Ovis aries: one gene and its partners. Each later gene encodes a partner of the first gene's protein in a complex. Links are inferred from orthologs where the notes say so. Each region holds a gene or a part of one and is shown in the gene's direction. Other genes may lie near its edges. The genes, in order: SFN, NFKBIA and MAPT.

Evidence for each region.
Region 2: the proteins of SFN (region 1) and NFKBIA are in contact, whole or in part, in a crystal structure (PDB 6Y1J), measured with the Homo sapiens proteins. The link is inferred for Ovis aries from reciprocal best matches to the Homo sapiens genes SFN and NFKBIA. Residues at the interface, in NP_006133.1 of Homo sapiens: Glu14, Cys38, Asn42, Val46, Lys49, Asn50, Gly53, Gly54, Arg56, Lys122, Arg129, Tyr130, Pro167, Gly171, Leu172, Leu174, Asn175, Val178, Leu218, Leu222, Asn226; in NP_065390.1 of Homo sapiens: Gly62, Ser63, Glu64, Pro65, Trp66, Lys67, Gln68.
Region 3: the proteins of SFN (region 1) and MAPT are in contact, whole or in part, in a crystal structure (PDB 4FL5), measured with the Homo sapiens proteins. The link is inferred for Ovis aries from reciprocal best matches to the Homo sapiens genes SFN and MAPT. Residues at the interface, in NP_006133.1 of Homo sapiens: Asn42, Ser45, Val46, Lys49, Arg56, Arg60, Phe119, Lys122, Arg129, Tyr130, Glu133, Gly171, Leu174, Asn175, Val178, Tyr181, Glu182, Ile183, Ile219, Leu222, Asn226, Leu229, Trp230; in NP_058519.3 of Homo sapiens: Arg528, Thr529, Pro530, Ser531, Leu532, Pro533, Thr534, Pro535.

What each region holds. Positions count from the first base shown.
Region 1 is NC_056055.1:240,065,004-240,072,277, reverse strand, and holds SFN (14-3-3 protein sigma), read left to right. Parts: upstream 1-3,128; 5' UTR 3,129-3,186; coding exon 3,187-3,933; 3' UTR 3,934-4,453; downstream 4,454-7,274. UniProt on the Homo sapiens protein: Adapter protein implicated in the regulation of a large spectrum of both general and specialized signaling pathways. Binds to a large number of partners, usually by recognition of a phosphoserine or phosphothreonine motif.
Region 2 is NC_056071.1:43,393,393-43,400,997, reverse strand, and holds NFKBIA (NF-kappa-B inhibitor alpha), read left to right. Parts: upstream 1-3,650; 5' UTR 3,651-3,738; coding exon 3,739-3,965; intron 3,966-4,586; coding exon 4,587-4,695; intron 4,696-5,023; coding exon 5,024-5,234; intron 5,235-5,624; coding exon 5,625-5,713; intron 5,714-5,836; coding exon 5,837-6,097; intron 6,098-6,462; coding exon 6,463-6,510; 3' UTR 6,511-6,603; downstream 6,604-7,605. UniProt on the Homo sapiens protein: Inhibits the activity of dimeric NF-kappa-B/REL complexes by trapping REL (RELA/p65 and NFKB1/p50) dimers in the cytoplasm by masking their nuclear localization signals.
Region 3 is NC_056064.1:45,708,352-45,715,856, forward strand, and holds part of MAPT (microtubule-associated protein tau), read left to right. Parts: intron 1-1,222; coding exon 1,223-2,299; intron 2,300-5,124; coding exon 5,125-5,180; intron 5,181-7,505. UniProt on the Homo sapiens protein: Promotes microtubule assembly and stability, and might be involved in the establishment and maintenance of neuronal polarity.

The sequences.
Region 1 (7,274 bases):
AAAAATTTCCGAGGAAGTTCACTCTGAAGTCTAACCAGCGTCCCTCCTGCTGCAATCAGAGCCCTGTCCTTGTTCTCAATGGAGGTAGATAGCAACTGGTTGGTGCCTTCTCTATGCCACAACCCTTCAAAGCCTGTTATTACCAGTTAGGAAGGAGTGGTTGTCTGTGGGACAAGAGGCTTTGATCCTGCGGGTAGGAAGGATGCTCTATGGGAGAGTGGGGAGGTAGCAGGCAGGATGAGGAAAGCCCCTTTGCGCTGCAGACCCCACTCCTGCCCTGCTGACTCAGGCGGCTGACAGTAGAACCCCATGCCCTGTCAGGGCCTGCTGCCTCCTGCCTGCCTGGGCTCCTGGACTTGGGAAAGGGAGGCCTGGAGGCAAAGGGAGGTGCCTGAGACAGGAACTGAGTCAGGACTGACAGGCCAGAGCGGGCAGGAGGTGTTAGGTAGCCTGGCTCCCAAATTCACCCCTGAGCTTCAGCAGGGGAGGGGAAGGAGGGACAAGGCTCCCTTTCCCATGCCCAGTGCTGTGCTGAGGACCTGGAGCTTGTGGTGTAAGCCGCCACCAGGTCTCTGGTGAGAGTGGTAGGAAGAGAAGTAAGTCTTCCTGCCTTGAGACAGAAACAGCTGCAAAATCCCTGGGTCTACCAGGCCCTGCCCTCCAGGTTTCTAATGTTTTGGAATCTCCAGCTTTCCCCCAGGACCTGGGAAAGCCCAGGCTGGATGACTAGTACCAAGGAAGGTCCTCGAGGGCCCAAGGCCTGTGGAGGCCAGAGGAATGTGTGAGCTGGAGAGGGCGGAGGTAGTGCTGAGTGAGTGCCTCTGACCATTCATCCATCGTCTCTCTGGTTGGGCAGGGTCTAGCCTTTGGTTGAGACTTGGTTTGGGGCCGGCCCTTCCTTATCTCATAGAAATCAGCTCCATATTAGTGCTTCAAGTGTGTATATTTATTATAATAAGGCTCGGTTTTCTTTTCACATGATGTTAATAGTTACCATCCATTCTGCTAAGTGCTTTCCATCAACTCATTTAATTCTCACAACAAGCCCCATTTTTATTCAGGAAAACTGAGGCTCATAGAGGCCAAGTCACTTACCCAAAGCCACAGTAGCTTGTAAGAACTGAAACCAGGCAGTCTGATTCCAAGACTGTAGGCTGTTCTGTCATAGAAAAATAATACACATTCACCACTGATAACCTGAAGATACTAGGAAAGTCAAAGGAAAACAAAAAACCCACTTAGAATCCTACTACCTAAACATACACTGTAAATTGGTATTCCAGTATGTTTCTTTTTCATTGTTTTCTGTCAGTGATGTGATTTAGGCAGAGCCTTCAGGATGGCAAGCCTAAAATCCCTTCTGCTTGCTTCCTTGGGAAACATGGCATCAGCTCAGACATGTCCCTACTTTCCCTTCAAAGAGGCAGATCTCATCTCTGGGCCTCAGAGTTCTGGCCTAAGCCTCCCTCCAGGAGGAGAGGGTGGGTGTTCAGACACCAAGAGGAACTGAGGAGGGACAGGCTTGTGAAATAGTTCTGGTTCAAGCATTAAACTGGCTGGATCCCAGAGAGAGGAGCCCCACCCCGAGCCCCATCTGAGCTTTGGCTAGAGGTAGAGTAGACAAGCAGGAACCCACCCTCCTAGGTGCAATGCCAACACCTTTGGGTGAAAATTTCAACTGACATAGAGACAGGGTCTCAGTGAACAGGGACAAAAGATTGGCAACAGAGAAGTCTCCATCTCTGAAGCTTCTGCCAGGAATCAGAAGTGGGGCCGTGGTCAGAGGGAAGGGCAGGGAAACTTCTGAGAGGCAGGCTCATTCAGCTGGGGGGAAGAGGAAGGCAGCGCTCAGCTGGGACTGCTGCCCCATAAAACGAAACGACATGCATCACAGCCGCCTCCATCGCCTTGGTCCTGTCTTTTCTCCCCAGTTGCTAGCGTTTCCCCCCCTCCTGGTACCCAGCTGGGCAGGGTACCCAGGTGGCGGGCATCCCTGCCTCTGACAGAGGGCGGGGCTGAGTTAGGCAGGAAAGTGGAACAGCCAGTGAGCTGGGTCCCCACCCTCTGTGCGCCCCACTGACACATGATGGCAGACAGGGGGGGCAGGTGACCTGGTGTGGACAGCCAGAGGGCAAGTCCTCAGACAAGTGGCAACAGGCCACCAACTTGAAAGGGAAAATTGTGCTGTGATGGGGAAGGTATCCAAAAAACCTACTGGGTGACTAATTACAAAGGCTAGGCCAGAGCGTCAGAGGCCGCTCGTTAAACACCTCATTAAGTGGCACTCTGAAAGCTGCCACTTTTGCATTCTGGGAGCTCAGAGGGGACAGGATCCTGAGGAGGAGTGAGGGGTGGTGGGTAGAACCATTTCAGGTAGACTCTGGAAGAAGCCTGCATGTCACTTTTAAATAGTCTGGAGCTCACAAGTCAAAAGACTTGATGGGAGCAAAGCCAAATTTAGTAGCTGTGTGACTGTGAGCAACTCTCATCTTTCTCTGAGCCTTAAAGCGGTCCCGCCTCTACAGTGGGAGTAGTGTCACAGACTTGCCCATTTCACACAGACAGAGCAGGTTAGATTAAGTTAGATCATGGGTATGAAGGCGCTTGGGAAGCTAGCTACCGCCCTACCTAAACAAAGAGTTATCCCTCCTGAACCAATATGGGAAACACACCTGGCAGGACTGGGAACCGCATCCTCCTGCACCTGGCTTTATGGGCTCTGCCTAGGCCCATAGCGGCCAGGTAGCTGAAGCCATCCTCAACCCGTGTAAGAACACGGTGAAGGAGGATCTGATTTCAGCAACTGGGACAGCTACCTACGGTAGGCATGTAATAGAAGCCCTGAACCAGAGCGGGCAGCCTGGGGCCTGGAAAGGTGTCGGTGCAGGTGAGGCCAACGCCCAAATCTCTCCCGCTGACAGTCCGGATGACTCACCCCCGGCCCCCGCCTCCCTACCCGCCATCCAAGCCCTTTTACCTTTAAGGAAGAGCGGAAAGGGTGTGGGGGCGAAGAGGAGAGGGAGGCAGGTCCGGGGCCCTAGCCCCGCCCTCTGCCCCTCCCACCCTTCTCTGGGCCTGGCCTTCCAGCCAAAAGGCGGGCAGAGAGCAGGAGAGGCACAGAACCCGGCCTTGGTTCCGAGGCAGCCAGTTAGCCCGCCGCCCGCCTGTCTGCCTGTCCCCAGAGCCATGGAGAGAGCCAGTCTGATCCAGAAGGCCAAGTTAGCCGAGCAGGCCGAACGCTATGAAGACATGGCAGCTTTCATGAAGAGCGCTGTGGAAAAGGGCGAGGAGCTATCCTGCGAAGAGCGCAACCTGCTTTCAGTGGCCTACAAGAACGTGGTGGGTGGCCAGCGGGCGGCGTGGAGGGTCCTGTCCAGTATCGAGCAAAAGAGCAATGAAGAAAGCTCGGAAGAGAAGGGCCCGGAGGTGCAAGAGTACCGAGAGAAGGTGGAGACGGAGCTCCGGGGCGTGTGCGACACAGTGCTGGGCTTGCTGGACACCCACCTCATCAAGGAGGCCGGTGACGCCGAAAGTCGGGTCTTCTACCTGAAAATGAAGGGCGACTACTACCGCTACCTGGCCGAAGTGGCCACTGGCGACGACAAGAAGCGCATCATCGACTCAGCCCGGTCGGCCTACCAGGAGGCCATGGACATCAGCAAGAAGGAGATGCCGCCCACCAACCCCATCCGCCTGGGCCTGGCCCTGAACTTTTCCGTCTTCCACTATGAGATCGCCAACAGCCCCGAGGAGGCCATCTCTCTGGCCAAGACCACCTTCGACGAGGCCATGGCCGACCTGCACACCCTCAGCGAGGACTCCTACAAAGACAGCACCCTCATCATGCAGCTGTTGCGAGACAACCTGACGCTGTGGACGGCCGACAACGCTGGGGAAGAAGGGGGCGAGGCTCCCGAGGAGCCCCAGAGCTGAGCCGCACCCGCTGCACGCCCTGCCCTACCCTGCCCGCTCCAGTCCCCCACTCCCGGCAGAGAGGACTTGTATGGGGTGGGAGGTCCGACCCTTCTCCCCAAACGCTCTGGCCCAGCTCAGAAAGGCTCCATAGAGAGGAACAAGCAGAGCCGAGTCCCCCTGGAGCCAGAGGATTCCATACTTCCTGCAGCTGTCAGGGGCTCCTGGCCACTGGTCATCATCCAGCCCTGCTCTGTCTCCACCCCCGCCCCCCGTCCCAGACACCCCCCCCCCCACCCTGACCACTTCCTCCCCACTCCAACCCCCTCCCGCCCCTGCTACCTATGGATCTTAGGAATTGAGGAGTGTCCCATCCTTAGAGCTGAAAACCGAACTGTGTGGCAGAGGTTGGTGATGAAGGTGTGTGTGTGCGCCTGTGTGTGTGTGTGTGTGTTGTGCAGCAACCAGGACCCAGGATGAGAGGGAGAGCATGTCTGCTGGGTGTGACCATGTTTCCTCTCAATAAAGTTGCCCTGTGACACTCCGCCTGTCTTTTTCAGTTATTGCGGAAGGGCGGGACAGGGATTGGTGTGTGAGTTACAGAGACCCTGACCTCCTTGGGGCTGGCTCAGTGACTCGCAGGCAAGACTCTGGAGCCAGGAGAGAGGCTGGGGATCCAGCCCTCTCCATCAGGGTCTGGTCTAGTCCCCTCAAACTGGTCCTATCCCGGGAGGGTCGGGTGAGCAGCGCCAAGGCGGCTTGGAGACTCCTCTGCCAGGAACGTGGGGTGGGAGGCTGAAGCGCTCAGGTGTGAGGGGACAGTCTCCGGGGTGAGGTCGGAGGGGTACGCCGCAGTGAGCGGCACTGAGCACCTCAGACCTGAAAGCGGGGAACAGTCCCATCAGATCTGAGCGGAGGGAAGTATCACCAGGGGGCGGGTATGACGCCGCCATTAAAAGCTCAGGTCTGAGGAGAAGACCGCCTTCCAATGTTCGGAGATGGGGACAAAATAAAACAGGCCGTTGACGAAGAAGTGCAACTTGAGTGCGAAGAGCCGCCAAGAGCGGGTTCGGCCGCGGCGGGCCAAACCCACCGCCCCCGCATCTCTGCTCCCAGCAGCGACGCTCCTCCGCCTTCGGCCGCCTAGTGAAGCCCTACCTTCACAGCCTGAGGCCAGAGGCGGGCCCGAGGCTGATATCATCCAATCACGGGAAGGAGCTGCTCATGGTACCGCCCCCGGGGCCAGACTGACCAATAGGAGAAGGAGCGGCGGACCGAGCTGGGAGCGTCTCCCCATCGCCCGCCGGGCCCTGCAGGCGCCGGGACACGCAGCCGGGAGAAGAGGCCCCCGCCACCCGCCGAGTGCCAGGGGCGGAGCTTTCCTGGTTTCACTCGGACGAGTTGCCACCCGCCAGACCCGAGAGCTCTACATCCTGAGAGCAGCGGGACGGGGCGGGGTAGTGCGGTAAAAGCAGTCCCCGCCCTCTGAGTCATCCGCTCTACCGGCGGTGCCTGGGCCTGGCCTGGCTGGCAGTATGGGCAGGGAAAAGGCCACCAAGGTGTCTCCATCGCACTCTAGAGCCCAAGCAGCCCTGACCTGGTGGCCAGGAGGCTTGGATGTGACCCTCACTGGCTTTGCAACCCTGTGCTATGTGCTTAGTCGCTCAGTGGTGCCCGACTTTTTGCGACCCCATGGACTGCAGCCTGCCAGGCTCCTCTCTGGCCATGCCCTCCTCCAGAGGATTTTCCCAAACCCGGGAGGTAACCCAGGTCTCCCGCATTTGCAAGCGGATTCTTTACCGACTGAGCCACCAACTTTGGAAAAGTCATTAACCCCCACCCTGGGCCTCAGTTTCTACCTTCTGTATCATAGGGGGCTTGAACTAACGGCTTTTTAGTTTGACTCCAAGCCTGCTTTGTCCAGGGTTCTTAACCATGCTTACCTTTTGTCCTTATTTGTGAAGTGAGGATTAAAAAATAGTACCTTCCTCTTAAAAGTTGCTGTGAAGTTTGAGAAAAATAAATGTATGTAAAGTAGCCCATAATACATATTTATACATGTTACCTATTATTAATCCTTCCAGCATCGGTAGTCCAGGATTTATCTAGCATTTCTGTGCCAAAAGCAGAATAATCAGGCCCAGTCCTGAGGAACAGCTTTACTGCCAAATCCAACCCTCTTGATCACTGGGTCACCCGAGAATACTGGCCTGACACAAGTGGGCAGTCCTTCACCTGATAATACTGGGGGAACTGCATCTAGCCTCATCAGGTGGAGTCCAAGTTTGGTCACACTCATGGACTAAAAGGCTCTTATCAGAATTTCTAATTCTTCACGGGACGCTGGCAGGACCACTCAGATGCTCTCTGGGTCCCTTGTCTTCTCTTTTCAGAAGGGTATTAGGTGTTAAGGTTTCAAACCGGTCAAAGACTCTGGGAAAGAGCAGGTGACTTCCCCTCAGCTTTGGAAGTGACCTGGTTTCTCTTACCAGACAGGTCTGGTGACTTTCTCTTAATGAGGTAGGTCCTGGGAAAGCAAATTCTTCTCTTTTCTCTCTGCATTTGACTTTTGCCTACTCCCTTTATGCCACCCATGGTTGGCCTCTATGGGGAAAGAAACGAGCTACTCTAAGGTAGCCTGTTGGTGTTGACAGATTTTAAAAGCAGATGCTATGGTTTGGAATATCACCAGACAGGCTAGCTGTGAGCTGCCTTAGGCACCAGCTTCTGAATTGGGTCCCAGACCTTTCTATCTAAAGCTTTCTTAAGGTTACCCAGGGTGGGGCCTCAGTGGGCATTCTGATCCTCTTTTCCTGGCCTAAATTTGACATTAAAATTTTTTCAGTTCTATATAACCCAACACTGTATATCAACTGTACTCCAATAAAATTTTTTTAAAATTTATTTTTTTCAGTCCTGCTGCTCTTGGGTATGAAATTTCTCTTAGGGTGATAAAATCTTCTTGGATTTAAATAGTGGTGATGGAGTAGGAAATGGCAACACATTCCACTGTTCTTGCCTGGGAAATTCTATGGACAGAGGAGTCTGGCTGGCTGCAGTCCATGGGGTAGCAAGGAGTCAGAAAAGACTGAGCGACTGAGCATGCAGCATGATGGTCACACAATTTTGTGAATATATGGGGAAAAAAAACCACTGAACTGTGAACTTTATAGTGAATTTTATGATCTGTGAATTATGCTCAATTAAAAAAAAATCAGCCCCAGAGGGCAAAGTCGGTAAGAATGCAAAGTTCCGATGGAAATTTCATGGTGGCCACTCTTCTTTTCTCATCGTCCTCTCCACTTGATCACTTTCTTCTAAACTTTTCCAAATTTCAAAGCCATCTTCAGGTCAAAAAAAGA
Region 2 (7,605 bases), on another chromosome or scaffold:
GGAAGAGCACATGAAGTGCCTGCAGCCCGTCCCCAGGCCTTAATGGTGTTCCTTTTCCCATGGGGGTGGCTCCTGCTGGCAGTGAAGCAAGCAAGCTTCACTGGGCATCCTGTCCATGATGCTTGCTTCTCCAGGGCTGCTCGTGAGCCACTTCAAGGCTAACTTATTCTTTTGCCTTTTATATTAAAAAAAAGAAGAAGAAGAAAGAAAAGAAAAGAAAGGAATTCCCTGACAGTCCAGTGATTAGGACTTCACTGCTGGGGCCCAGGTCCAATTGGAGAGGTGCTGCTGCCGCTGCTAAGTCGCATCAGTCGTGTCCGACTCTGTGCGACCCCATAGACGGCAGCCCACCAGGCTCCTCCGTCCCTGGGATTCTCTAGGCAAGAACACTGGAGTAGGTCGCCAGTGCCTTCTCCATTGGAGAGGTGGGGACAGAACTAAGATCCCACAAGCTGCCTGCCACAGCCAAAAAAAAGGCTTTAACATGACTTTAAGAGGTTTTAACATCTTTAAAATGGTCAAGATTAGCTAAGATGCTTCACAGTGAGGTAGGGACGACTCTTAAGTGTATAAAGTTCTTTCTAAACCAAGTCAGTTTTGCTGTCTTCTGCTCCATCTGTTGCTGTTTTCTGACTTCCCCAGTATGTTCTCTGTCACCCAAACTGTAATGTTTGCCGATTTAAACCCTTTAGAGCATATGACAGAGAGAAAACCTTTTGGATCACATTACCCACAACTGTCTCCCTGGTTGCAGGAAAACAAAAGGTACCTCCTTGGGAATCCCCACTAGAGGGACAGGTCATCAAAGCTCAGCACCTCCCAAAAGTTCCAAGTTCAGTTCAGTTGCTCAGTCATGTCCGACTCTTTGCAACCCCATGGACTGCAGCACTCCAGGCCTCCCTGTCCATCACCAACTCCCAGAGTTTACTCAAACTCTTGTCCATTGGGTCTGTGATGCCATCCAATCATCTCATCCTCTGCCATCCCCTTCTCCTGCCTTCAATCTTTCCCAGCATCATGGTCTTTTCAAAAGTTCCAAGGTGCCATGACAAATCACTGACTACCTAGGCCTGAATCTTACCACTAGGTGTCACACTAAACAATCAGAAATAAAGACCCCCCCAGTTGCCCAAGGCTACAGCAGCAGCAGCTGCAGAAAACCATCACAGGAGGTGCAAAGAAACATATTCCTGAAAGACTCTGGACTTATGCATAGTTTTTTTCAATGGTTATTTTCAAACCTGTAGCTGACAATTGTCTTCTAAGGTACCTTTGTAAGCGGGGCAGTCAGAGTTTGCTATTTCTGTACCTTTTAAATGTATTTTTTATATATGAAAATCCCCAGACGGGAGAACATCTACTCTCTATTTTACCTAACAATTGGAGTAGAAAATACTTTGCATATCTTTCAGATTATAGTGTATTCAGTCTCATTTTCACAAGGTGTTTTCAAAAGTGTTAATATCATGACTGGTTTTGGCTAAACAGGTTGGGATAGAAATTTGATAAACTGCCATGGAATGTCGAGGTAAATTTATCTGCATCTGTTTCTTTTTAGGAAAGTGGGAACAATAGTTCCTTACTTACAAGATTAGTTCTGAGAACTAACAATGTATAGCAGAAAGTGCTGGAGCCCTTCAAAAATTTATACCATGATATTTCTAAGAGCCGTGGTCACCCTTAAGCAAAGATACACGAGCATTCGTGATCAAGTAATGTAGTTTTTAATCTGGAGAAAAATCTAAACAGCATTAAACCCAATCTTATTATAAAAGCAGGTATCCCATAGCAAAGTCAGCTAATCTCTCCAACTAACATGCAGGTAACTAGAGGTAAAGCTGGGAACTGAGGTCTCCTAGAGCCTCCATTGCACCTCTCCTAATACTTATGTATTTGTGTATCACAGGCCTGCAGAGGACTCTATCCCTGAGAAGTTTTCATTTTAATATATGACCATTACTACCCCGACAGTTTTACTTTTTGATTTTACTTTTTTCTCCCCCTCATATTTTGTCTCTCACTCCCATTGACCCAGATTCCCTACATTCAGATACTGGGGGTAGGGGAATGGAAAGGGGAGATGAGCAACGGAGAAGGCTTGGTTAGTACATGGTCAGTTAAGCTGAAGATGATTGCAATAATCACCAGAAATCTCTGCAAAACTACAGAGGCTTCCTGGGACCTATTCTGAAGAACTCTGACCCAAGTTTCTTTATTTTGCTTGGACCAATTCTAGAAATAGATGAATGCATACCTCTCATTGACTAGGAGGTGGGGGGGGCGCAGAGAGCCTAGGTTCTATTTCTGCAGGTGAGAGGAGGGTGGTGAGCCTGGAGTGGCTACCCATATGGCAAGCATGGGTCCCATGCATGTCTCTCCCAGGCAGGAGAGCAAGGAGCCAGCAGAGGCAGGATGAAGGGCACCATGGGCTGCCTTGAGCCTCCTGCACTATGCCTGGCAGCTAATTTCTTAGCCATCCATAAGGCCTCATCTTGGATAAGGCACTACTCTACCCATTCTTCAGCCACCTTCCCCAAATGCTTCTGCAAAGTCACCCAGCAGAGGACCCAGAAGTATGCTCAGGGTCTGTTCCCTGCAGCAGCACAGTGCAGAGCAGGGAACCCGACCTCCATAATTATTTCCTTACTTCAAGGGATTTACAGCCTCTGCTACAAAGACTCATACCTTGCTTTCCTTGAAAAATACCATGGTTGTTTTCACCGTTTTCCTGCATACAGGGCAGAGTGCTTGCCTCTCCTCCAGTCAACAGGATTGATAATCCCAAGGAAATGATTTGACGGTTCCCCAGTGGCAACCCACTCCAGTGTTCTTGCCTGGAGAATCCCAGGGATGGGGCAGCCTGGTGTGCTGTTGTCTCGGGGTCACACTGAGTCGGACACAACTGAAGCGACTTAGCAGCAGCAGTAGCAGCAATCATTTAGGCTTTTAATGCCAAAAGCTTTAGAAACTTCTACCCGGGGGTCGGGCGGTGGGGGTGGGAGTGGAGAGTGGGCTGGGGCTGGCTATTCAGCCGGTGCCTACAATGCTAAGAGCCTGGTACTGGCAGGAAGGCAGAGGCAGCCACCTTCCACCGACCAGTGCGTCCTCCCCGCAGAGAGCTTTGGGGAAGTGAATCCCTACACCCGGCCAACATTTCCACTCGCGTTTTCAAAAGATTTAAAAAAAAACCGGAAAAGACCTGCAGGTCGGTAAACCCCAGTGAAGAACCAGCCTGCAGGCCTGCGTCTTTGGGATCTCAGCAGCTGACGACCCTAAATCAAATCGATCAAATCGGGAAAACCCAGGGAAAGAGAGCTTCTTGCAGAGGGCCAGGATTACTGCGTGCAGGTTGCAGGGAAGTACCCGGGGAGGGGGCCCGGTCAGGAGGACTTTCCAGCCACTCAGCGTTCATCAAAAAGTTCCCTGTACATGACCCCAGTGGCTCATCACAGGGAGTTTCTCTGATGAACTCGGGCGCGGGGTTTAGGCTTCTTTTTCCCCCTAGCAGAGGACGAGGCCAGTTCTCTTTTCTGGTCTGACTGGCTTGGAAATTCCCCGCGCCTGACCCCGCCCCGGAGAAATCCCCTGCCAGCGCTTATAGGGCGCCGCGGCGGCGCTGCCGAGCCCACAACAGTCCTAGCCCGTCGTCCCGCTCGCCCGCGACTCCGAGAGCAGCCAGAGCGCAGCGCAGCCCGCGGCCCGTGCACTGGGGAGCAGCGCCCGAGCCTTCACCGCGCCATGTTCCAGCCTGCCGAGCCCGGCCAAGATTGGGCCATGGAGGGCCCCCGGGACGCGCTCAAGAAGGAGAGGCTGCTGGACGACCGCCACGACAGCGGCCTGGACTCCATGAAGGACGAGGAGTATGAGCAGATGGTGAAGGAGCTGCGAGAGATCCGCCTCGAGCCGCAGGAGGCGCCGCGCGGCGCCGAGCCCTGGAAACAGCAGCTCACCGAGGACGGAGACTCGTAAGTGTCGCGGGCCCGGGTGGCAGGGCCGGGTGGAGGCGCTGGGCCTGCAGCCCCAGGCGCGGGGCCCGCGCAGCGGCCGCGCACCGGGGTTCGTGCACCGACCCCGAGGCTGTGCAAAGGTGCACGGCTGCCTGCGGGGCCGGGGGCCGGGGCGGGGGGGGCGGGTCGGGGGTCGGCGCTGGTTTCCGGGGCCGTGGTCCCGCGGCCCTGCGTTGCAGCCGCGCGCACCCCCCGCACGCACACCCCCGTGCGGGTCCCCTCGGCCGGAGGCGGGGCGGCGGCGGGGACGCGAAGTCCCCGCTTGCATAAGGGGGGGGCGGGAGTTTCTGCCCCGCTGGCGGGCGCCGCGCGGCCGGGAGGGGAAGTACAGGGCGTTCCGGCCGGGCGAGAGGGCGGGGCGGTCTGGCCGGCGCCCGCCGCCGAGCGCGGGGGGGGCGGGGGGCCGGAAAGTCCCTGGGCGCCTGCCAGGAACACTCAGCTCATAATAACCTCGCGGAAAACACCGCGGCCTCGGCCTCCAGAAACCCCGGCCTTGCGCAATCCCCCGCGGGCCGCGCCTCCCCGGGCCCCACGCAGTGCACTCACCAGCCCTGGGGGTTTTCCCTCTCTTCCCCTCAGGTTCCTGCACTTGGCCATCATCCATGAAGAGAAGGCCCTCACCATGGAAGTGGTCCGCCAAGTGAAGGGAGACCTGGCCTTCCTCAACTTCCAGAACAACCTGCAGCAGGTACTGCTCTCCCGCCGCGTACCTCTCTCTCCCGCTCTGACCCCGAGATAAAACCGGGTCTTGCACATGATTTCTAGATTAACAAAGGTTTGGGCATTATCTGCCCTGATTTTTTACACCTGTGTCAGCCAGTATTCTAGAACACAAAATTCCATTGATTTGGGAAGGCCTTTATGAAGCCCATCTGGGGCCTCTGGTATTTTGCTTTGCCCCTGGTATGCGCCTGGGAAAAGCAGCACCCACAACCAAGATATCTCTGGGGTTCAAGGGAACACAGATGGTGGGTTGGATCCATGGCTTATCCTTTCTGTCCCTCTTCTGTTTGTAGACGCCACTCCACTTGGCTGTGATCACTAACCAGCCAGAAATTGCTGAGGCACTTCTGGAAGCTGGCTGTGATCCTGAGCTCCGAGACTTTCGAGGAAATACCCCCCTACACCTTGCCTGTGAGCAGGGCTGCCTGGCCAGTGTGGGAGTCCTGACTCAGCCCCGGGGAACCCAGCAGCTCCACTCCATTCTGCAGGCCACCAACTACAATGGTATGTCTGGCTGTCCTGCCCATCAGAGGGCAGGTGAGGTGGACACGGGGGAGGCAGGCTGACTTAAGGAGGCCAAGCAAGGCCTAAGCTCTCAACATATGAAAGATGGAGAAAACATGTATAAAGGCCTAGTTGATGCCTTTCTAAAGTCCATTCAGAACCCAGATTCTGAGCTCTTCAAATTAAGAATGTATCCTTCAAAAGAATAGGGATATATGTATACCTATGGCTGATCCATGTTGATGTATGGCAGAAACCAATACAATATTGTAATTATCCTTCAATTGAAAATAATAAATGAAGAAAAAAAAAGAATAGGTGAAAGCTTCTGCTTGAGAAATGAGTGTTGAAACAAGTAGTTATAATACTGTCTTACTTTTGGTCTTCTAGGCCACACGTGTCTGCACTTGGCCTCTATTCATGGCTACCTGGGCATCGTGGAGCTGTTGGTGTCCTTGGGCGCTGATGTCAACGCTCAGGTCAGTGCCTCACACCTTCAAATGGGGTACATCAGGCCACCCTGGTCCTCAATACGAGGGCTTTTGCTGCAAGCAGAACTTCCAAACTCAGCCATAAGCATCTTGAATTCCTTATGGTTCCAGGAGCCCTGCAATGGCCGAACTGCCCTCCATCTGGCAGTGGACCTGCAGAATCCCGACCTGGTGTCACTCCTGTTGAAGTGTGGGGCTGATGTCAACAGAGTCACCTACCAGGGCTACTCCCCGTACCAGCTCACGTGGGGCCGCCCCAGCACCCGGATACAGCAGCAGCTGGGCCAGCTGACCCTAGAGAACCTTCAGACACTGCCAGAGAGCGAGGATGAGGAAAGCTATGACACCGAATCAGAGTTCACAGAAGATGAGGTGAGTCCCAATTAACTTGTTCATGGCTTTGCAAAAAGAAAGGAGAGAGGCCATTCTCCCTCCCCCTTCTAAGGCTCCTAGAGTTCCTCCTTATCCTGAGGGTCTCAATGTAATGAGCCTCTCAAGCTTGAGTATGTGTAAGCAGAATCCCAAGAGCATGTCTTTTTTTTTTTTTTTTTTTTGGCTCTTGTTGAAGGAGGATCCTTAAAGGAAAACTCCCTCAGCCCAGGAAATTCATTTACATTCAGTGTATAGAGAATGGGGTCCAGGAATACTTGAGTTATTTCCAGTAACAGCCCACCCCATCATCCTAGCACCCTCGGAAAAGCCCTGCGAGTTTAACATGCCTTTTTTTCTCTTTTTAGCTTCCCTACGATGACTGTGTGCTTGGAGGCCAGCGTCTGACGTTATGAGCTTCAGAAAGAAGCTAAAAGAACATGGACTTGTATATTTGTACAAAAAGAGAGTTTTATTTTTCTAAAAAAAAAAGAAAAGAAAAAAAAAAAGGGAGGGATGTACTTACAGCCACACTGCCTGGTCTGGAACATTTTACTCTGGATTAACCCTCAGTTTGTCATTTTCGTAAACTCTGGAAGAGGGGGCAAGAAAAATCACTGGAATTCAGAGAAAACCTCTTTTAAATGTCACCTTTGGTGGGGTTTCAGGGGGAAGGTTATTCAAAATTTGATGAAAGGACTCTTATTTATTATGCTTATTGGTTGAATCACCATGGGTTCTGTGGCTGCGCCAGTTGAGTGACATGTAACCATCAGGTGTGTTGTTAAACCGGTCGGGGGGGTGGAGTTAAAAGTCACTACCTGTCAAGGTGTGTGTTCCCCTCCTGTAAATAGTGCACATAGTGTATTTTGTCGGTAATTATTTTGGTACTTTTAAGATGTATATTTATTAAACAGATTTTTATGAACAGAGTTATCCTGATCATTTTCATTGGGCTGCTGTGGGTCTCCTACACTGAGAGTCATTCAGTCCCCAGGCGGAGGCGGAGGTGGAGAGCATGTGGGAGAACTCACCACAGCCACGGAACCCTCTCACAGAGCAGCTTCTCACACTGTTGACACCAGCCTCCCAGCTGGGCTTCGCAGGCAGCCCCGGCCCAGTGCGTGGGAGGGAGGCTGTTGTAAGGTGATAGGAAACAGTCTCAGGCTTGGGCCGGGCAGGCTGTTTGGCCCACAGCTGGAAGGCTCTTCATTGCCGCCTGCTTTTATCTTCTTGGTTTAAGCTATTCCGAGACCTTACTTCAGCTTTAGGAAATTATTTTAGCCAAGAGTAGTATGTGGAGTTTACATTTTCTAGAGCTGCGAAAGGTCTCCTGTATGAGAAGTTTCTGAGGATGGGGGCTTAGGAATAGGACAGTGCTAACGTATGTTAGCAGGTGCCCACCTCTGTTTCCTTGCTTACAAACTGGACCATCTGAAGATTGCACAAGGCTATCCGCGCAAAAATCATAACAGTGCCAGGCACCTTGTGCTGAAGAAAAAACGCAAGCC
Region 3 (7,505 bases), on another chromosome or scaffold:
GTCTCTTTCTCTTCCAAGACCCTCAATCCTTTGGACTTCCAGGGTTTGTTTAGAGGAGAGCTGCAAAGTTGTCCTGGAACTAGGTAGGATGTTTGAAGAGTTGGGAGTTAGAAAAAATACAGGATATTAGGAGAACCAACAGAAAAAAATCTCCTGTCCTCAATACACAGATATTTTAAGAAGGGATTGATGTGAATGTGGGGCTTCCCTGGTGGCTCAGATGGTAAAGAATCTGCCTGCAATGCAGATTTGATCCCTGGGTCAGGAAGATCCCTTGGAGAAGGAAATGGCTACCCATTCCAGTATTCTTGTCTGGAGAATTCCATGGACAGAGGAGACTGGCGGGCTACAGTCCATGGGGTCACAAAAAGTCAGACACGATTGAGTGACTAACACTTCACATGAATGCGGCATGAATGAAGCAGAAAAAGGGGAAGTGTGCCTTCACCCACTGGGCTGGCACACGGGAGGTGGTGTGACAGGGGAGAAGCAGTGGTCCCGCAGGGCTGGCCACGTCTGTGCCGTGCAGACCACCTTAACTGCCACGGTGGTCGCCTCACCTCGTGCAGAAGGCTGTTCATAATCCACAATCTGGACAAACCTGAACCGTGTTTCTGTTCGTAGAGGTCTCTTGGCAGGTCAGTTAGTAAAGACTGAGCCCCAATTATGATGCATTTGGGGTTTTCCAAATCTATCAGGGTGGGTTTATTGGGCAAAAGGGGGGCCAGAGAGAGGAGAGGAAAGGAGACCCTCCCTGCACCCCATCCAGGTCCCAGCTAGAGGCCAGAGTCTTCAGGAGGCTCACAGTCCCTGGAGAGGAGGACAAGTTTCTGCTGCTGGTGGAGTTAGCCTAAGGCAGCCCTGGATATGGCAGGATGGTTGGAGCCCAGCCAGACCCAACATAGGCAGAGGACTACCACCAGCATTAGACGGGGTCTTGGTCTAAGCTCCCCCTTTACAGATAAGAAAACTGAGGCTCAAAGACAGGAGGTGCTCACCCACGGTGACCCAGCTAATTGTTGGCAGATTGACCAAGAGCCGTTTCATTCTGAGCAAAGAAAAGTAACACGGGTGAGCTCAGAGGGTGGGCTCCTTTTCCTTCGTTAGGTGGGCTTGAGATGCTGTTTAAACATCTTTTTTTTCTTTCAAATGTATGTCCCTCTCTTAAAACACTTAACTTGCTCTTGCTAACCTTTTACTGCTGCTGCCTCTTCAAGCCCAGAGGAGAGGAGAGTTCCGGGTCAGCAGAGGGAAGCATCTGAGAGGCCTCTGGCCCATGGGCTTAGCTCTCAGGTCCAGCTTGCACATGGCCAAGAAGCTTCTGGGGTCTCCGAACTGCCTCTTGGGGAGAAAGAGCCCGAAGCTCCCGTCCTGGAGACCTCTCGCCCTTCCCAGCATCACCCCATCTGCCAAGCGCCTCCTCCACCAGGAGGCCCTCAGGAACCCCACTGGGAGTGGGAACTAAAACCAGGGCAGCGGGCTGAGGAGGGCCTGGCCTTTCCGAAGCCCCCCTCCCCTGGACATCAGCAGACAGAGCCTGGGAGTTCCAAGGTTGTCCAGGAGAGCTTCCTAGGGGAGCTGGGCCACCATGGAGGTGAGGCTGTGGAGCCGGGGACCTCAGGGCTGACCCGCCAGCACGCATATGACATGCTTGGGGCCCCCATTCTGCTCGCGGGCTCCAGAGAGGCCACATGCCAGTCTTCAGGAACAGAACCTAAGGTTGCAGAGGGCAACCGCCATGGCTCCGAGCCGCCAGAGTGCCAGCTTTGGGGAGGCCTGCCCCAGGAGGGGCTGCCTCTGAAGGGGGCACAGAGCAAAGAGAGGCAGGGAGGTAAGGAGGTGGATGAAGACCGGGACATTGATGAGTCCTCGCCCCAGGACTCCCCGCCCTCCCAGATCTCCCCGCAGGCAGTTTCTGGAGAAGCTCCTGGAACCCCAGGGTCCCCAGCCGGGGGTGCCATCCCGCTTCCTGTCGATTTCCTCTCTAAAGCGTCTGCGGAGACCCGGGTCCCAGAGCCCGACGGGCCCTGCGAGGGGCCCCCAGGAGAAGGGCGCGACGGGGCCCCCGAGTTCACATTCCACGTGGAAATCACAGCCAACCTGCAGAAGGAGCAGAGACCCCCCTCGGAGGTCGATTTGGAAGGGACTGCACTTCCCGGGGCCCCTGGAGAGGAGCAAGAGCCCTGGAGCCCCTCTGAGGGCGAGGACGCAAAAAAGACTGATCTTCCAGAACCTTCTGGAAAGCAGCCTGCAGCTGGTCTGCCAGGGAAGCCCGTCAGCCGGGTGCCTCAACTCAAAGGTCTGTGTCTTGAGCTCCTTCGCTCCCGCCTGGCGACCTCGTGTGCCACCCAGGCTGCAGGCGCTGCCACTCAGCTTCCGGCTCCTCCTTGGCTCCTGCCGCTTCTGAGGCCCCCGCGGACAGCCACCAACCAGCCCCTGGGGCCTTTGCTCACCCTCCCGGCCACCTCCTGTCCCTCGGGCACTGGTAGCTCGTGCTCCTCTCACGCTTGCCCGCCGTAGTGCATGTCACCAAGACCCCCACCCACTGCTTTCTGCCCCATTCACTCCTCTGGCCCCTTGATTTCTCTGCAAGGCTCTTCAGCCCAGTGGAGGCTGGTGGGCTGCACTCCACAAAGAGCATAGCGGCTGCTCCCACTTCGGAGGGCTCGTTATGTGTCTCAAATTGGTTGTCTAGGACCCTCCTGACCCTCCCGACCCTCCCAACAAGTGGGCATAATTAGCCCGATGTGCAGAGGAGAAAACTGAGGCTGCGAGCGGTGAAGTATCTTGCTGAAAGTCATTGAGTAGTAGGTGATGGGGCCAGACCCAAGTAGGTCTGCTTTGAAAGGCACTTCCGTCTACCCCGCAAGCGCCTTCCAGGAGGTCCTGAGGTGTGCCCTCCTAGCCCAGAGACTCAGAGGACATACGTCTGTCCTCTGCAACTGTGTCCATGGATAGCACCTCACATGCAGCAGGCCACACACACACACACACACACACACACACACACACACCCTTTGGAGGTGACCCAGAGCCCATGCTGAGCCTTTGGCCCAACAAGCACTCCACCCTATTTTGTCTGCCTTGTGGCAGAAGAGACAGTGAGCAGAAACAAAATCTCCTCATGGAAGGAACCCCCTCTTCTTCCCTTGGCAGAGCTGGGGCAGTCCCACTGATGGGATCACAGGGAGGGATCTCAGCCCCATCCCCGTCTCGAGCCCTGGGAAGCGTGACCACAGCAGCCTTTCAGGAGCTGAAGAGATGGGAGGGGAGGTTCCCAAGGGTGAGGGTCTCTGTGTCCTGTCGGGGGGAGGACGGAGGAGGCCTCATGGCCACATATCAGCCGTATTCATATGTTTAGATCCTGTAGCATATTAGAATTATTCGCGGGGCCCAGAAATTGATGCTACTTAAACTGTTAATTGCAGACATCTGTTAAATGTTGTCACGAAAACTTTGAAATGTTATAGATGAAGGAACCTGTGTTTTTAAATTTAAGACCGAAAAAGAACCCTACTTTAAAATATCCTAAACTCCAAACTAATATGGGACACGTAACTGTGACTTGATAGATGACAACAGTGTTTCCTGAAAAGTTGTTTTACATTGAATGCTGATCCACTGCATGTTGATAGATGTGTCCAGGGGAAAAAAAAGAGTTCCATCGTCTAGTCTGGGTAGGGAGGGGAAGGTGAAACATTAAATGGAGTTTGCTGTGGGGAACTTGTCAGAGCCTTTAATATTGTAATGTACATTCTGACCCTCTGAGAAGGATACATAGTAGCCACTTCCCCAATCTGGGAAATGCAGATCTAGCAGATGCTTTTGCTGTGACATAGATGATGATGGCCATCGGGGCAAAGGATGTGAATCAGGTCCACCGGGGCTCTTACTAAAATGCAAGTTCCTGGGCCCCACCTTAGGCTACTGTCTCAGAGTGAACCCGGGATTCTGTATTTCAAGAATGTCTCCCACTGGTTCTGCTGCATAACAAAGTTTGAAAATCTCTGGGCTAGATCATCAGTGCTGGTCACTCTAGAAATCTGGTCTCCAGGAACCAGTGAGATGCTTCCACTGTCGTCGGGGCAGAGGAAATACGATATTGAAGCCACGGATGAGAACCTGTGATCAGTTTCCAATAATGCATGCCAATAGCAGGAAAGAGTGAGTTCGAAGTTACGCTGGAAGACAAGCGGATTGGTTTCACCAAGGGGTGTGGCTTTCCAAACACAAAATCTGTCAGTGGTTTGGTCCTAAAATCCAGAGATTATCTATGGCAGGGGTCTCCAACCTCTAGGCTACAGATCAATACCTCCTGCCAGATCAGTGGTAGCATTAGATTTAAAGTGTACAATAAATGTAATGTACTTGAATCATCCTGAAACCATCCCCTCCCCACCCCCAGTCCATGGAAAAATCATCTTCAATGAAATAAAGAGTCTGGGGACTGCCGATCTATAGGATATTTGATGGCAGCTAGTTTGTTGCAAATTTGGGGAAAGGGCAAGCATTAGTCCCCCTTGGGAGAGTATGTAAGTGGTGAGACGGCCCTTCAGGGGTGGGTTGGACTTGTCAGAGAGCCAACTAGGACTGGTCACCCAAGCCCCCATGAGTACAGGGCAGGTTCTGGGAAAGCGGCCCACTCCCCCTGGCCCTTGGGTGACAATATGAACAAGGGGTCCTGCAGGGGCCAGAGCCTGGCTGACCTGCCCTGTACATAGCTCTGGGGCTTCCAAATGCCCCTCCTTGGAGCAGGGTTGGCCGGTCAGGGGAGGCTGACCCCAGCAGAGCCTGTGAGAGGTGGTCCTGCACCGTCTACCTTCCCTGACCGCCCCTGTACCAACGTGTACCCATAACAGTTCCCTCTGTGTCGCCTATGCATGTCCCCGGCCAGCCTGCTGCCCCCTCTTGTCAGGGTGTTGCAAGCAACGACCCCAGTGTGCTGTGTTGATACTAACAATGAGACACCTAACAGATTCACGGGGAAAGAAATCAGCCGGGTTTCCACTGGCCCAACTGAACAAGACATATTGCACAGTTTCTGAGAAACCACTTTCCCTTCCTTGGGCTCTCATGCACTGTGCTAATGGGTGTAACATGCATTCTCATTTTGTATTTTATCAGCTCGCATGGTCAGTAAAGGCAAAGATGGGACTGGACCCGATGACAAAAAAGCCAAGGTAAGCTGAGAAAACCATGGCATCTCTGGCGCCATCAAGTTCATCAAGAAGCCATTCTTTGTATCTGAATTGATCTCTGTATATGACACGTGGGAATCGTTGGTTCCCGAGGTACACCTGTCATTCACAGTGCTTTGTGTTTCCATACAAACATTTAAAATGCCAGCATTTATCCTTGGATACTTCTGCCAGGGAAGGGCAGTGAGCAGGTTAATGAATGAATGAATGAATGCTCCTAATTAGAGTTGTACCAGCATTGTTTGAATTAAGACGTTCACGATAAATGAAAGTATGCTTGAATTTTCTGCAGTGAATTTTGAATTTTCTGCTTCCTGCTATAGGTCTAGGCGCAGCAAAGATATATCTGTATACACACAGAGAGTATATTTAAGATCTATCTAGAAAATACCATTTATTTAGGGGGCTGAGGGAGTGTTGAGCAAAAATGAGATATCCAACCTAAAGTGGAGGGTTCTGGAAAAACCCTAGAGGAGAGGACCTGTGAGGCAGGCCGAGAAGGAGAGATGAAGGGTGGGGTTGGTGAATAGGGGTGAGAAGAGACATTCTGAGGAGTAGTATCAGTGGAGGTAAAGGAGGGTGAGGGGAGAGGAAGAGAAAAATCACATTTGGGAGTTCTGAGCAAATCTGCCAAGCTCGGGGTAGGGCTGAGGCAGGCCAGAGGAGGGAAGCCTGATACACACCCTACATGCTGAATGGACACGTGGGCTGTGGTGCCCTAGAGGCTGTCCTGAAATCCTGCCAGCCAGTCTTAAGATCTTCCCCCACCAAGGACCAGAAGACCGAGCAGCCTGCTCACCACCCAAACTGCACCCAGGACCGCATGGTCCTCCTCGCACTCCCCGCCAGCCCTAGTGCACTCTGCTCCATGACGAGGTGGCTTGAAGAACGCTCTCCTAGCTGCACAGTGGTGGCTTTCCAGGAAAACCTCGCTGGGGCCCCAGATGAAGACTTGTTTTTCTTATAGGCATCCAAGAGGCTCCCTATCTATGCTGCCTGAAACGCCTGGGTGTTCATCAGTCCTGGAGGACTGATGGAGTTCCCAGATGCAGAATCAAGCCCTAGGGTTTGGTCTTGTGTGTTGAGGGTGGCTGCCCAAAGTGTTTGCCCTGGAGGAAGTCAGGGTTCGCCATCACAGGACCCCAGTGGGGCAGCTGAGGGTACTTACTGCAGGGACTTGGGGTGGGAGGGAGTTGCAATAACTGCTTGCCAATCGGGATGCCCATTCAGGGGAATCCTGTCCTCTGTTCATTCATCCATTCTTAAGCTGTCCCTGCCCTGGAGTTGCTCACAGCCTCGCAGCAAGTCAGATCTGTCACGAACCTAGGCCACTTGGCCAGGTAGGGAGCAGTGCCGGCGGAGGGGGACCTTGTGAAGCTGGGGAAGGAGGGCTTGGCTTGCTGGTACCCACCCTCTGCTTTTTTTTGCTAGCAGCCCCAGGGCCTCAGCCCGCATCTCTCCGCTCACACCCCTGCTCCGTCCCTCTTGCACTCCTTCCCAAGGCTGGCTGCAGAGAGAGCCTCAGCCACCTTAGTGGTGAATCTCAGTAACAAAGAAGTTTCTAGTCAGGACTCTCCTCTGTAGCTCTGACTCCCCCTTTGGAACACCTCTGGACTTGGCCTCTTGGTTTTATTCCTGAAGACGTGGCCCTTCCCGCTCCCAGACCAGCCTCCTCCACCAGGGCCATGCATCCCAGTCCAAGGTCCCCAGAGGTGGTCCAGACAAACCACAGGTGCCGTCCACCCTCCTTCACACTCTCATCTCTGTGAGGTCGTCCAGCTCACAGACACCCTCCCATTGGCCACCTGCACCGCCCAGGCTACTTCATTAGGTAGATCGTACTCAAGAGTAACCACTGGCCTGATTAAGATTTACCAGACTCTGGGAGATTGGGATAGACATATATACAGTATTCATACTATGTATAAAATAACTAATGAGAACCCTACTGTATAGCTTCCCTGGTGGCTCGGATGGTAAAGAATTTGGCTGCGATGCAGGAGATCCAGTTTTGATCCCTGGGTCAGGAAGATCCCCTAGAGAAGGAAATGGCAACCCACTCCAGTATTCTTGCCTGGAGAATTCCATGGACAGAGGAGCCCGGAAGTCTACAGTCCATGGGGTCGCAAAGGGTCGGACAGGACCGATCAATTAACAGTTTCACTGTGTGGCTCAGGGATCTCTACTCAGTGCTCTGTGGCGACCTAAATGGGAAGGAAATCCAAAAAAGAGGGGATATATGTAGACATACATCTGATTCACTGCACTCTACAGTAGAAACCAGCAACACTGCGAAGCAGCTACACT